Saccharomyces cerevisiae S288C: one gene and its partners. Changing the gene in region 1 together with any one later gene gives a genetic interaction. Each region holds a gene or a part of one and is shown on either strand. Other genes may lie near its edges.

The links.
Region 2: mutations in GIM5 (region 1) and ELM1 together harm fitness more than expected from each alone (negative genetic interaction), as found in Saccharomyces cerevisiae (6 studies listed by BioGRID, with this or other methods).
Region 3: mutations in GIM5 (region 1) and NUM1 together harm fitness more than expected from each alone (negative genetic interaction), as found in Saccharomyces cerevisiae (5 studies listed by BioGRID, with this or other methods).
Region 4: mutations in GIM5 (region 1) and DCC1 together harm fitness more than expected from each alone (negative genetic interaction), as found in Saccharomyces cerevisiae (6 studies listed by BioGRID, with this or other methods).

Annotation. Positions count from the first base shown.
Region 1 is NC_001145.3:80,675-83,418, reverse strand, and holds GIM5 (Gim5p), read right to left. Parts: upstream 1,145-2,744; coding exon 1,129-1,144; intron 1,046-1,128; coding exon 570-1,045; downstream 1-569. Other genes in the region: UTP14 (Utp14p), read right to left, coding at 1-329; DNA repair protein RAD10, read left to right, coding at 1,306-1,938; YML096W (putative asparagine synthase), read right to left, coding at 1,933-2,744.
Region 2 is NC_001143.9:346,645-350,878, forward strand, and holds ELM1 (serine/threonine protein kinase ELM1), read right to left. Parts: upstream 2,493-4,234; coding exon 570-2,492; downstream 1-569. Other genes in the region: centromeric DNA-binding histone H3-like protein CSE4, read right to left, coding at 1-120; ANR2 (Anr2p), read left to right, coding at 2,819-4,234. UniProt on the Saccharomyces cerevisiae protein: Important role in G1 events required for bud emergence and septin organization. Coordinates cell growth and cell division at G2/M, essential for efficient cytokinesis and for regulation of SWE1.
Region 3 is NC_001136.10:753,675-758,696, reverse strand, and holds the start of NUM1 (Num1p), read right to left. Parts: upstream 3,070-5,022; coding exon 1-3,069. Other genes in the region: KGD2 (dihydrolipoyl transsuccinylase), read left to right, coding at 3,631-5,022. UniProt on the Saccharomyces cerevisiae protein: Controls nuclear migration. NUM1 specifically controls the interaction of the bud neck cytoskeleton with the pre-divisional G2 nucleus. Functions in dynein-anchoring.
Region 4 is NC_001135.5:94,082-97,335, reverse strand, and holds DCC1 (Dcc1p), read left to right. Parts: upstream 1-1,572; coding exon 1,573-2,715; downstream 2,716-3,254. Other genes in the region: BUD3 (Bud3p), read right to left, coding at 1-1,055; NFS1 (cysteine desulfurase), read left to right, coding at 3,066-3,254. UniProt on the Saccharomyces cerevisiae protein: Component of the RFC-like complex CTF18-RFC which is required for efficient establishment of chromosome cohesion during S-phase and may load or unload POL30/PCNA.

The DNA of each region.
Region 1 (2,744 bases):
TGGTAGTTTGCATTCTCCTTCTTGTCACGAATAGTTTGTGAGAATTTGGAATTCAAAATGTCATAGTCATCATCAGAGCCCAACGCTTCATCAGAGTTCAACTCCTCATCTTCAAACGACTCAGAATCGATATCATCTTCATCACTGTTAGTGTCACCTTTTGACCTTTTTAACAAGTTGACAACTGTACCATTACGACGAGCATCATGTCTTTTGTCATTGTCGCTGGAGTTATCGAATTCACCATTAATTTCTCTCTCAGCAAGTTGCAAAGCATCCAAAACTCTTCTAGAACTCTTGGATCTGCTCTTAGATTTCTTTTTTGCCATATTTAAGTTAGCTTATTTTGTCTTGAAGCCTCTTTTATTAGTATATAACAAGATGTTATTGAATGCACACTTAATGAATTTTTTCAGCTCATCGCCATAGGAATTTGAAAAATTTTCAATGGCCTTTTCCGGAAAACTACAAAGTGACGATAAATAAAAAATTACGTTGCATATAGATAAACGTATATCAGATGGCTACAAATGAGATATGAAAAATCGTAGGAAAAGCAAAAGAGTTACCTAGGCTGTAGACGACTCCTTTTTTTGTTGCTGCTGTTGTTGTTTACTCATCGCTTCATGCTGTCTAATAGCGGCTTGTCTTATTTGGGCCTCGATGGACAAGGAATACTGGGTCTTTTCCTTAATAATATCTTGGATCTGTACAGATTCTTTGTTAAGCTTGTCTACTTTCTTTTGGTAAAATGCGATTGCTGCTTCAGCGCTCTTTTCAACGTAATATCCTGTACCAATGTCGACCATGAATTTCTTATTGTCTACAATCTTACCTGGGATGTATAATGATGCAGATGCTGGAACCAGTAGTTTTTGCCCTTCATTTCCTGCTTGGGAGACTGTTTTAATATCATCAATACATTCTGTGAACTTGCCCTTAGCCATGGTTAATGCTTGCAAGGACTGTGTGAAATGCTGCAATTCTTGGTCGAATTGCTGTTTTACAGCATTCAGCTGCTCGGGATTTAGTTTAGTTAAATCGACTAAGTTTCGAACATGTAGTAACTTAAAAGTTAGTAAAGTGTCTGTACGGTGGCAACAACGAAGGAGCTATTCATTTACATACTTTTTTGAGAGGACATGGCTTGATTTTTACAGTGCTCTTTCTTGTTTGGGTCACAGCAAGATTTTCATCTAAGACACTTTTCTATTTAAAATCGTTAGAACAAAAAAGAAAATTGTAACTTATGAGACAGCCACGCAACACAAAAAAGGGCATAAACAAAGTTGGTTATCCTAGAAGATGAACAATACTGATCCTACTTCATTTGAAAGTATATTGGCTGGTGTGGCCAAATTGAGAAAGGAAAAGAGTGGTGCAGATACTACTGGATCTCAATCGTTAGAAATAGATGCATCAAAACTCCAGCAGCAGGAACCGCAAACATCAAGACGCATAAATTCAAACCAGGTCATAAACGCCTTCAATCAGCAAAAACCGGAAGAATGGACCGACTCAAAGGCTACAGATGACTATAATCGAAAGAGACCCTTCAGGAGTACTCGACCGGGAAAAACTGTACTAGTGAACACTACCCAAAAAGAAAATCCACTCCTGAACCACTTAAAGAGCACCAATTGGAGATATGTATCTTCAACAGGAATTAATATGATATACTACGACTATCTAGTTCGTGGAAGAAGTGTACTGTTCTTAACTTTGACTTATCACAAATTATATGTCGATTATATCTCTAGGAGAATGCAGCCCTTATCTAGAAACGAAAATAATATACTGATATTCATAGTAGACGATAACAACTCTGAAGATACCCTTAATGACATTACAAAACTATGTATGTTCAACGGATTTACTCTACTTTTAGCATTTAATTTTGAACAAGCTGCAAAATATATTGAATATTTGAATTTATGAACAATTCCTATTTTCTTTTAATAAATCTGTTCCATGCTTATTACCATCCTTTGTCATTTTAGCGCTTTTAGCACCGAATTGAATGGCCCTTTTTGGTTCTGATGATATTCCATCCAACTTCAAATACTGCGAGGCAACTTTTCGAAGGATTAATTTGTTAACCTTGAAATTAATGGGAATTTCTGCTGTAGATAACTTTATAACATATTCATCTAAAAATGGGTATCTCACCTCCACGCCATTATGAGCTATCACTTTATCATCACGATTCAGGTTGCGATCATAAATGTTGTTTATTTGCCTTGTAAGTTCCTCCACAAGTTCATGGGGTGGTTTGTTGGCAAACTTGTGATATCCACCGTAGAGTTCGTCTGCTCCCAGTCCGCTGAATAACACTATCCCATGGCGCTGATATGGCGTTCTTTCCCCATTCAGAGAAGTTAAGAAACCTCTACCTCTCGACGCAAAAAAAAAAGCAATGGCTATAGACAAGTCCATTTCAGTCTGTTTAGGATACATTAAATTGATAACAAATGGCTTCCATTTTAAATACTCATCATAAGGAACGTCAACTTCAACCAGTTTGATATCAACATTAGGATATAAGTTTTGTAAAGTCTTTGCACTGTTAATGGACAGTTTTCTATCAGGTGTATCACTGGGAAAAAGACCAGTCCTGGGGTTTTCGAAGGATACATTTAGAAGCTCTATAACTGGTTTTCCACATTTATAATCATTTTCTTGCAACACCTCGCAGATCAACGCTACTATTACTGAACAATCAATTCCTCCTGAGAATAGTACCG
Region 2 (4,234 bases), on another chromosome or scaffold:
CGATAACGCACGATCGTTAATAGATTGTTGGTCTCCTGCAAGCCTGTTGACGTTACTGAGTGATCTTCCACTCGAATCACTTTGAATAGCAGAACTAACCCATTGTTGTTTACTTGACATGATTATGTTATATTAGTATTCTTTCTATATTCAGTCCTTCTTCTGTTTTTTATAAAGTAAATTCTCAAGATTATCTACTACTGTTTTTAAGAGATGTTTTCTCAATATTTATCGATGAAGTTTTGTTTTTCTTTTGTTTTCAATTTACTTCCGCGATTTCGCGACACAGTGGGATCAAGATAAATCATATCGTTCGATATTCTCGCAATAGAAGACCACTAAACTCTCAATTGATAAATGTTGATGTCGATTTCAATTATCAATGATGGTATATTATGAATATTATCTTTAGTGTTATTAATACAAATGCAAATGTGGGTAATTTGCCGTTTCTATATATATATTTATGTATTTACCATAACCAAGTAAATCAATTAATAATCATATTTCACATCGGCTATACGATTATCAGCTAACCCAATCCGACAGATATCATCCTGTAGTTTCATCTATATTTGACCATTATCTGCAAAGTTCAGATACGTTTTTACATCTTCTACTGTTTCTCGAATGTCACTATCTTCCGAATTTATGTATGCTTTAAAGTTGAGAATATTACTTGAATGAGCAAGCTTTCTAGCCCCTGAATTGTTAACCGTGCGCTTTCCAACAGTCCTATCCATTAGTGGGGAACTCGGTTTGTCCTGTGAGCAATTAATATGGGTTCTGTTCCCGTTCTCTTTAGGGGAACTCTTTAGTCTTATCATGGCTTTGATAGGTGTTGGGATTTTCAATGACGAATGAGAGGATGACTCGCTTCTGTCAGTTTTCATGTCCGAATTCTGCTTATCATTATTCACAGTCAAATTAGGTAAGCTTTCATTTGACCTACAAAAAGTATCTAAGAAATCCGTAACCTGAATGGCTTCCTCCCCTAACGATGAACAATAATCGCTCGAGTCTGGCGAAGATCTAAGGACCGTAGTCGAAAAACATTCTTTATCCGGTTCCTCGTCGATATGTATCGAAGGTGTTACTTTACTAGTTGCAGATACCAATACCTTGTCTTTCCCTTTTCCTGAGGTCTTTTTCTTTCCTTTTTTAGTCAGTAGCCTACCAAAAAATCTTCTTACAGGACCTTCGTTTCTTACGGGGTTCACACTGGACGATGAAATTTGACTGTGATTCCTAGAATCTATGGGCTGGTCACGCGACAAAACCTTTACTAAATCCTGAATACTTATGCGTAAAGTAACGTCTTTCTCCAATAACCTTTTAATGACTAAATCGTTTAAAGTATTACCATTTATTTTGGAACTCAATGATACTTCGATGATTTTGTGGTAGGTTTCGAATTCATTTTCCCCGAAAAATGGCAGCTCGTTGTACAGTAAGCAGTATAGTGTCACTCCCAATGACCAAATATCCAACTTAAAGCCATCCGTCACAAAATCTCTTTTGGAATTGCCCAAATGACATAGCTCTGGTGCAATAAATGCCGGAGTACCAACAATTTTGTTCAATTCCCTCTGAAAACAATCTTCAAAATTAGCATCGCTGAAAGGTAATGATTGGGGAGTGAAAATACAACTTCCAAAATCAGAAAGTTTCGCTACTTTTTCTTCTTCATCCAATAAAATATTGGACGGTTTGATATCACGATGAATACAACCCTGAGAATGCAAATATTCCAACCCTTTTGTCATATCCTCCAGGATTTTTTTGGCAAATGTAGAAACACTACAATTTGAAATCACAATTTTTTTCCATTGCGGTAAAATATCTTCATCATCGTCACGTTTCCACTGTAGTTCACCAAGGCTGCACCAATTAGTGACTATCCAGATAGATTCGCTGAAAGGAGAGTCCAAGCATTCTATTAGTCGCACAATATGAACATTATTTCGAAGTCTTGAAGCCGCAAAAATTTCCCACCTACATTTTTCGATATTCATAAGTCTCATAGCCTCATTACCACTCATATTTGTCGTTATTTTTCCTTTACTCTTCCAAAGCTGGATTTGCCTCATTACTTGATTTACTGAATATTGCTGGGCATTCCAAGGTTTTTTTGGTATAATCTTGACAGCAACAACCTTGCCTAAAGTAGAACTGTACGCTTTTCGTACATAACCAAATTGTCCACTTCCTGCAGAGACTCCTAGCGTATATTGGTTTATAGTTTTCTTATCTTGGTCACTAACAGTTATTTTTTTCACATATGGTCGAATTTCATCCAGGATCGTGTGTATATTTTCTCCTATAATTGTACTATAGGTTGGTTTCTGTTGAGAAAAAGAAGAACCAAATGAAGATGTCTGGCTCGTAGGCGTTATCGGGGGACTATCTAACTCATCCTCTCTTATGCACGATTGCTGGGATAATGGTGCCCATTCCGGAATTAATGTCGGTATAAGCTGTCGAGGTGACATTTCATGCTAAGTAATTATTGTTAACCTGGCGTTCAAAAAATAATATCTATGCGAGTAAGTTTGTAACACCTAAAGAAGTATCATCGGGGGGTTTTCAAGGCCAAATTAGTTCATAGGACTAGAGACTGTTGCATTGTTTATTTGTTGCTACCTCATCATTCACAAATTATACGTTTAAAGTGATGTAAAATCATGCTATATACTAATTTGGCATAACCTCTGTTGAGCGGCATCATTTAATGATTTACTTCTATTTTAATAATTACTTCATTTCGAACAACTTAATAGCTACTTCAAGAAGGATCAAGTAAGTTCCTCGAAGCACTATGAATTCCGGAGGTGAAGAACCAACTATAAAGCCAAATGTATTTAATATTACTCAACTTTTAAACTCAAATGGTGAAAAACCGGGAATTGCTTGCATCTTCTTAAGTAAATTTGACATGAAAAAGGGAAATATCATAATATGGTCTAAAAGTATTAATGGTGCGGCAATTGACTTAAGCAATATTGAATTTAAATCGTTACCAGCCGGTATTCACGAACAAACTGACGATGTTGTCAATTTTGTAGTTCCTAAAGAATTAGATGTCTGTCAAACTGCCAAGACGACAACTTATGATTACGGCATCGCCTATTTCAAACAAAATTCGTTCGATATTATTGAGAATGACAATCGTATTGATAGGAGTAAAGTTCAAATGTTTTCTCTTGGTGTAATTATCGATGTCCAAAATGCCTCATCAGATAGTAAAAAGCACTTTTATAAGGAAATATACCATGCGTATGCTGCCAACAGATACTCAAGCTATCTAGAAAGTTTACTCGGTCAATGGATAAGGCAGCGTGATCTTGATAAGTTTGATATTTTTGAAAAGTTTTTTGACGAGAATAACCAAGGGCACATGGCTGAAAATTCAGTAGAAGTCTTTGAACATTCACCCAAAGAAAGACGGCATTTGGTTGAATATTTGCCATACTGGACAAGGAAGTTAGGGCCTCTCATATTTCCACTTTGGAAAGCAAGTCTCCTTCAGTCAAGGATATTGATACTAGTTCCTCAAGGAGAATCGTTCGAATTGTGCAATTCTTTGGCCTATTGTGTCTTCTTAATATCAATGCTTCCAAAAAACTTGATAGGAAACCATGTAAGCGATGAATATATTAAGCCTATTTTCACGGTATCAACATCAGATATTCCTTTTCTAGAGTCGTTCAAAAAGGGGAACGGTTATGTGGCTACGACCAGCGAGGAAATTTTGTTGTATAAGCCTGAAATTTACGACATAGTAGTCAAACTTACTTCGAGCTCAACTATAGAAGAATCACCAGAAAAAGAAGTGGAAATTCTTACCGCATCTGGTGAACAAAACAAAGCAACTCCTCTTGACTTAGAGGTGTATGAAAAACTTATACTGGGGGAGTTACAAGAGGATGCCTCTACAAATGCGACATGTCGACATCATGAGGTGACAGAACCCATATCATGGCTACAGTTTTTAATTGATGGGTTTTTTCTTTTAACTACTGCAGGCTATCTGGTAGCGCCATATCACCTTGCAAATAATTTCAAGATTCCGAGGCACGTTTCTGGCCCAGAACCCAACAATTCAGAAATACAGATCGCTGAAAATTTAGTTCGCTATTTTCACCGCAGAACATCAAATCTGTACAACGATCTGAAGGATGTCATACAAAAAAGTGAAAATATTGATTCAGAACAACCGATTACTATCGCAGCT
Region 3 (5,022 bases), on another chromosome or scaffold:
AGGATTCTCCTTGCACTTGACTAGGTCTTCGTATGCACTATCCGATAGTAAATGGTGATTGGTGGCCTTGGCATGTTCAACTAGGTATTCCAGTGATGGTTGTTCTAGTTTCTTTTCCAATTCAGAATATGCCTCGTTGGATACCACAGTGTGGCCTAGTTTGGCAGACTTCTCCTTCAAGAATTCCATATCAGGATTCTCCTTGCACTTGACTAGGTCTTCGTATGCACTATCCGATAGCAGATGGTGATCGGTAGCCTTGGCATGTTCGACTAGGTATGCTAGTGATGGTTGTTCTAGTTTCTTTTCCAATTCAGAATATGCTTCGTTGGATACCACAGTATGGCCTAGTTTAGCAGACTTCTCCTTCAAGAATTCTACATCAGAATTTTCCTTGCACTTGACTAGGTCTTCGTATGCACTATCCGATAGCAGATGGTGATCGGTAGCCTTGGCATGTTCGACTAGGTATGCTAGTGATGGTTGTTCTAGTTTCTTTTCCAATTCAGAATATGCCTCGTTGGATACCACAGTGTGGCCTAGTTTGGCAGACTTCTCCTTCAAGAATTCCATATCAGGATTCTCCTTGCACTTGACTAGTTCTTCGTATGCACTATCCGATAGTAAATGGTGATCGGTAGCCTTGGCGTGTTCGACTAGGTATGCTAGTGATGGTTGTTCTACTTCCTTCTCCAATTCTGAGTATTTGCGTTGCAATTCAGAATATTCCTCGCTAGATACCACAGTATGGCCTAGTTTAGCAGACTTCTCCTTCAAGAATTCCACATCAGGATTCTCCTTGCACTTGACTAGGTCTTCGTATGCACTATCCGATAGTAAATGGTGATCGGTAGCCTTGGCGTGTTCAACTAAGTATGCTAGAGATGGTTGTTCTACTTCCTTCTCCAATTCTGAGTATTTGCGTTGCAATTCAGAATATGCCTCGTTGGATACCACAGTATGGCCTAGTTTGGCAGACTTCTCCTTCAAGAATTCCATATCAGGATTCTCCTTGCACTTGACTAGGTCTTCGTATGCACTATCCGATAGTAAATGGTGATTGGTCGCCTTGGCATGTTCAACTAGGTATTCCAGTGATGGTTGTTCTAGTTTCTTTTCCAATTCAGAATATGCCTCGTTGGATACCACAGTGTGGCCTAGTTTGGCAGACTTCTCCTTCAAGAATTCCATATCAGGATTCTCCTTGCACTTGACTAGGTCTTCGTATGCACTATCCGATAGTAAATGGTGATTGGTGGCCTTGGCATGTTCAACTAGGTATTCCAGTGATGGGCTCACGTAGTCTTCTTTTTTGAGTAATAAATAATCTGATGCAGAAGCTTTTTCTCTTAGAAAGTCTATCGTTGGGTTCTTTAAACCTTCTAAGGCTTTAGTATCAATCAGCACTTGGTCGTATTCTTTTGCCTTATCTGACAGGTATTGTTTCGAAGGTGTTTCTATCTTATTAACCATTGAAAAATACAGATCATTACTTAGCCATTTACAGCCGTTTCTCTCCTCCAGCCATTTACAAATATTCGATTGTAAGTCGTTCTTTGCTTCCAGGCATTTTTTCATTTGTTCAATTGATGGATTCTTGACACTCTCAAAAAGGTCATTATAATCTTTGGTAGGTATTATCAGGCAATCAATTTTGGATGTTAAAGGCAGTAAAAAATCAATAGTAGGCTCTTTTAACAAGTTAAACGTACTTTGATCGATGGGTATCTTTTTCAAAGCCTGAAGTTTTTCCTTGAGATAGTTATATGATGGATTTGATAGGGATTCGTTTAGGTTCTCAAACTCCTCTAGAGGAAGAACTTTATAGCCAGAAGCTTCTAAATATTTAATATGAGATTCTAACGAAAACTCTTTTTTGCTGTAATTGTCATCATTTGGTAACGCGATCATATTCAGGTTTTCAGCCACCTCTTTGGTCATTAATTCATCGTCTTTTGGTTTGGATGCACTTTCACTTTTTTGTAGTAAGTTTTTATATGAATCATTCGATAACAATATCATATTGTTTTTTTCTGAGTATTTCTTGACAAGATCTTCAGAAATGTCCTCGACAGAGGGGCCTGTTTCAATCATGTGGTCAATTTCGATCACTATATCAAAAATGTCTTCTTCACTAGTGGTCCCCTCAGAATCAGGATCAGATGTTACTGTAGTATCGGAAGTATGCTGTTTTTGATAATACTTCTTTTGTACTTTTCTTTTTAACGAAGAAATAGATGCTTTGGCGTCATCAAGTTGCTTTTGAATTTTTATTCTTTCAGTTCTATTGCTCTGTAAGGAATTAATTTCACTTGTTAGATCAGAAACACTAATAAGTAATCTGTCGTTTTCATTATTTAAGTCTAAAATCCTTTCCTTTAATTCACTAATCTCTTTATCGTAATGAAGTTTTTGAGAGCTAAGATCATTTTCCATGCCATTTTTTGTTAATGTTAAAATTTCCAAATCTGTTTTCAGAAGTTTCAGGCTTTCTTTTTCATCATTCCAAGATTTTTCAGTCTTTTTCTTCAATTCTTTTAATTGCCTACATTCCATGCTCAAGTTTGTTAATTTAGATTCTAAATCCCAGTTTAAATCTTTAGTTGAATCCAACTCTTTCATGAAGGACTTTTTTTGGTTAGTGAGCTCCTCAATCTTGTCACTTAATGACTCTTTAATTTGCTTGAGAGACTTGATTTGCTCATTTTTAGCTTCATTAGAGGATTGCAATTTCCTACACTCAACCAACAAATTCTCGCTTAGTTCCAAAGTAAAGTTCATATCCTTTGATGAATTCGCCGTGAGTACTCCATTGTGGGAACTACTGCCTGCAAATTCCGGAAGCACGTCTTTTGTCTCTCTTTTACTCAAAATACTTGAAATCGAAAACCGCTTTGTTTTATCTCCTTCATCACCACTGCCGCATTCATCAGCCTTTAAGTTAGCCATCCTTGTTACGCCGTTCGTTGAGACGCTTTCCTGGCTTAATGAATTGTCAATGCTATTTGCATACTGCCCTGCTGAGCTGTCTTTATCGTTATTCTTTTTATGCCTGTTGTTGTGGGACATATTCGAACGTCTCGTGGAAAGCCTTGACCGTTGCGTCTTTACTCGTCTCTATTCAACCCTGTGGTCCTATTAGAACCGATCTTTGTTCCATCGTCATTACTACTTCTTGTCTCTTCTCTCTTGGGGAATAATAAACAAAACAATTCCAGCCACCCGCATCTCCGTCAAAGACGATATTAACAACCCTTTTTTTGCAGCCAATCAAAACTAAGGTCCTGCCCGGAGTGAGCCAATAAAGCGGCCACAAATTACGCAGGAATCTATGGTTCCTAAAGCTTATTCTTATTCTACATTAGCACCATTCTACTACAGGGCTCGGATCCACACTTGGTCTATCAGCAAATGCAAATCCTTTTTCCCTCAACTAGGCCTACTTTTCATATATAATCTCTTTTTGAGCTTCAGGGGAGGAAATATCTAACGTAAAAAAAAGAAAAATCCGAAATAAAAAATTAGGCAGCTATCTTTAACGGTATATATCAGTGAATAGATATATTGTTATAAACTTCACTACCACATTTGTTACAACCAAAGACACAACTTCAGATAATTATTTAAACAATGCTTTCCAGAGCGACGCGTACTGCAGCTGCCAAATCCTTAGTAAAATCTAAAGTGGCTAGAAATGTTATGGCTGCTTCTTTCGTCAAGAGACATGCTTCTACAAGTTTGTTCAAACAAGCTAACAAGGTCGAATCCTTAGGTTCAATATATTTATCCGGCAAGAAAATTTCAGTTGCGGCGAATCCGTTCTCCATAACTAGCAATCGTTTTAAATCTACCTCTATTGAAGTTCCTCCGATGGCAGAGTCCCTGACTGAAGGCTCTTTAAAGGAATATACTAAAAACGTTGGTGATTTTATTAAGGAGGACGAGCTGTTGGCCACTATTGAGACCGATAAAATTGATATTGAGGTCAATTCGCCAGTATCAGGTACTGTTACGAAGCTAAATTTCAAACCAGAGGACACTGTCACTGTTGGTGAGGAGTTAGCTCAGGTCGAGCCTGGTGAAGCACCTGCTGAGGGTTCTGGAGAATCTAAGCCAGAGCCTACCGAACAAGCGGAGCCATCGCAAGGTGTCGCCGCAAGGGAAAACTCAAGTGAGGAAACGGCTTCAAAGAAAGAAGCTGCTCCAAAGAAAGAAGCCGCTCCAAAGAAAGAAGTTACAGAACCAAAAAAGGCTGATCAACCAAAGAAGACCGTCTCTAAGGCGCAGGAACCCCCAGTAGCCTCTAACTCTTTCACACCATTTCCACGTACAGAAACCAGGGTCAAAATGAACCGTATGAGATTGAGGATTGCCGAAAGATTAAAAGAGTCTCAAAACACTGCTGCTTCCTTAACCACATTCAACGAAGTTGACATGTCAGCTTTGATGGAAATGAGGAAACTGTATAAAGATGAGATTATTAAGAAGACCGGTACTAAATTCGGATTCATGGGTCTTTTCTCCAAAGCATGTACCTTGGCCGCCAAGGATATTCCAGCCGTCAATGGTGCCATTGAAGGTGACCAGATTGTTTATCGTGATTACACAGATATTTCTGTTGCTGTGGCCACTCCAAAGGGTTTGGTTACCCCCGTCGTTCGTAATGCAGAGTCATTGAGTGTTTTAGATATTGAGAACGAAATTGTTCGCTTGAGTCATAAAGCGCGTGATGGCAAATTAACCCTAGAAGATATGACGGGTGGTACTTTCACCATATCTAATGGTGGTGTTTTTGGTTCATTATACGGTACTCCTATCATCAATTCACCACAAACAGCCGTCCTAGGCTTGCATGGTGTCAAAGAGAGACCTGTCACTGTTAATGGACAAATTGTCTCAAGACCAATGATGTACTTGGCTTTGACTTATGATCATAGATTGCTAGATGGTAGAGAAGCTGTTACCTTCTTGAAGACTGTTAAAGAGTTGATTGAAGACCCTAGAAAAATGTTGTTATGGTGA
Region 4 (3,254 bases), on another chromosome or scaffold:
AAATAAGGAATAGTAATGCTGCATGCCTTCAGTACTTCGAGGGAACCGTAAGGGATTGCTGTCTTTAGCGAGTCTAGAAAAATACAATTGATTCTTGTGACTTCATCTATTGTAGGTGGGAAGAGTCGATTTAATTTGGTTGTGGATAACCCATTAATTTCTTCATTGAGTACTCTGACTCTCAAGGCGATCAGGAATTTTTGCAAAAATTCTACCAAATTGAAAGTAAAATTTGTTTGTAGTTGTAATAACTCGTTGCAAATGGCCTTGACAAGATCATCATCCGATTCTGTGGGTAATTCGTCCTCTGGCGCCTTATAACCATATTCTGTCTGTTCCGGTGAGTATTCTGTGACTGGGTTAAAAAGTTGTTCAAGTTGTTCACCCAGATGGAATACCAACCTATTATTTAGTTCGATGGTGGATTCATTGTTTTCATAAATAACATCTAACAGGGTAGAGCTGACAAATCTATTTTGCAGAAGTCCTGATGTAAAGAAGCGCTTCCCCAGATCTTCTGGAGGAACTGCTGTTATCAACTGGCAACTACTAGCCAAATCTCCAGCATAAGGGGGGTCATAGTCGCAATTTTCCGATTTATTGGACAATATTTGTGATAAGTCTGATGGTGAAAGTAATGGATAGCGCTGTAACAGAATGACAGCAATGCATTTCTTAACATTGCTTTCCTGATCACTTGGACTCAAATTCTCAATGGCCGGATAGTATTGCGAGTTGGAAGATATATCGACGGATTCGAAGCATGATGTTCCTAATTTGTCGAATATTATAGCGTTCAACTTATTGCTGTTGGGGGACTTGTACACGCAGACAAAGAACTTCCCCCATATCAAGTCATCTGACCCGTGATAGAATACTGATTGAGTGAACACATTATCCGTCCAGTCTGAAAGTGATTTATCATCATCAAACAATGAATGACCATTTAGCGGTGTGGTCTCGACAACAGATTTGGATAGTTTGATGTTAAATAAGGTTTCATCGTTCTCTTTGTCTTTCTTTTCAGAGTAAAGAGACGACAGGTCTTTCTCCATTGGTGAGGTGTAAATATACTCTTTTAGCAACCAGATAACAGCCCGAACACGTAATGAGTAGCAGGTAGCAGCAGTAGAATGCGAGTACAGACAAACTAGTGTTGTTTTTACTATCCGCAGTGAGAGAAATCTTCCTCATTGAAGATCAAAGCCTTTGTTTACCATTGTTTTTATTTACCTTTTTAGAATTGTTCGAACAAAACCCTAGGTCTTGGCAACTGGCAATCGCTCAACATGACCTAATTTATAGCTTAGGGTTCTTTTTTGTCAATTCTATGCGTATGACAAAGAGCACCACGATGGTGATCGAAATCTCTAGGAGTAGCATACCACAGCGATATTATTTAGTAGTAGGCGGTTTATTATCTTTGTCCCTTTATACTGTTGTGTTTCTTGCTTATTGCTTCAGTAGGCAGCGTATAGTATAACCAGAAAAAAGTGAAAAATAAACTAAAAAAGCACTATGAGATGAACGGTAAAAATCCACCAGAGATTTGCTCACTAATAATCCTGTACCATGTCCATCAACCTACATTCCGCACCCGAGTATGATCCATCTTATAAGCTGATCCAGTTGACACCAGAGTTACTGGATATAATACAGGATCCGGTTCAAAATCACCAGTTAAGGTTTAAGTCATTGGACAAAGACAAGTCTGAAGTTGTACTGTGTTCGCACGACAAGACTTGGGTGCTGAAGCAGCGCAAACATTCAAACACAGTTCTACTAATGAGAGAATTTGTTCCTGAACAACCTATTACTTTCGACGAAACGCTCTTGTTTGGACTGTCCAAGCCGTACATGGACGTCGTGGGATTCGCCAAGACTGAATCAGAATTTGAGACCAGAGAGACACATGGCGAATTGAACTTGAATTCAGTACCAATATACAACGGAGAACTGGATTTCTCCGACAAAATCATGAAGAGGTCATCTACAAAGGTTATCGGGACCCTGGAAGAACTACTTGAGAACTCACCATGTTCTGCGCTAGAAGGTATATCAAAATGGCATAAGATTGGTGGATCTGTGAAAGACGGTGTGTTGTGTATTCTTTCACAAGACTTCCTTTTCAAAGCACTGCATGTACTACTGATGAGCGCAATGGCAGAATCACTCGATCTACAGCATCTGAATGTTGAGGATACACATCACGCTGTGGGGAAGGACATTGAGGACGAGTTCAATCCATACACAAGAGAAATCATTGAAACAGTGCTGAATAAATTTGCTGTTCAAGAGCAAGAGGCTGAAAACAATACGTGGCGCTTGAGAATACCGTTTATAGCTCAGTGGTACGGGATTCAAGCGCTAAGGAAATATGTTTCTGGAATAAGCATGCCAATTGATGAGTTCCTCATCAAGTGGAAGTCCCTTTTCCCACCTTTCTTCCCATGTGACATTGACATTGACATGCTGCGAGGCTATCATTTCAAGCCTACCGATAAGACTGTCCAGTATATAGCGAAAAGCACACTACCAATGGACCCCAAAGAACGGTTTAAAGTCCTGTTTAGGCTACAGTCACAGTGGGACTTGGAGGATATCAAGCCTCTAATTGAAGAACTAAATTCAAGAGGTATGAAAATAGACAGTTTCATCATGAAGTATGCCCGCCGTAAAAGACTGGGCAAAAAGACCGTGGTCACGAGCAGGTAGCACACAAAACTGCCTTCGATGGGCAATGCGAATATATAGCGGAACCACTAAAGTAATAGTGGATGACGTGAATAGCAACAAATATCTATCATAGTAGCTTTATATATTTATATATATTACAATACTATTATGCACCCTATTACCCGCAATAGTTGATAGTGACCTACCAATTTTAGATACGGTCGCTGACAAATAGTAAGGCCATCGCCCAGGGATATATGATGACTATCTAAGTAACTCACTCAGAGTAAAGACCGACAGAGTTCATTAGTGTGTTATATTTTCTATTTCAGATACATCATTTTCATTAAAATATATCGCATACACGAAGGAACTGCTACAACTGGAAGATGTTGAAATCAACTGCTACAAGATCGATAACAAGATTATCTCAAGTTTACAACGTTCCAGCGGCCACATATAGGGCTTGTTTGGTAAGCAGGAGATTCTATTCCCCTCCTGCAGCAGGCGTGAAGTTAGACGACAACTTCTCTCTGGAAACGCATACCGATATTCAGGCTGCTGCAAAGGCACAGGCT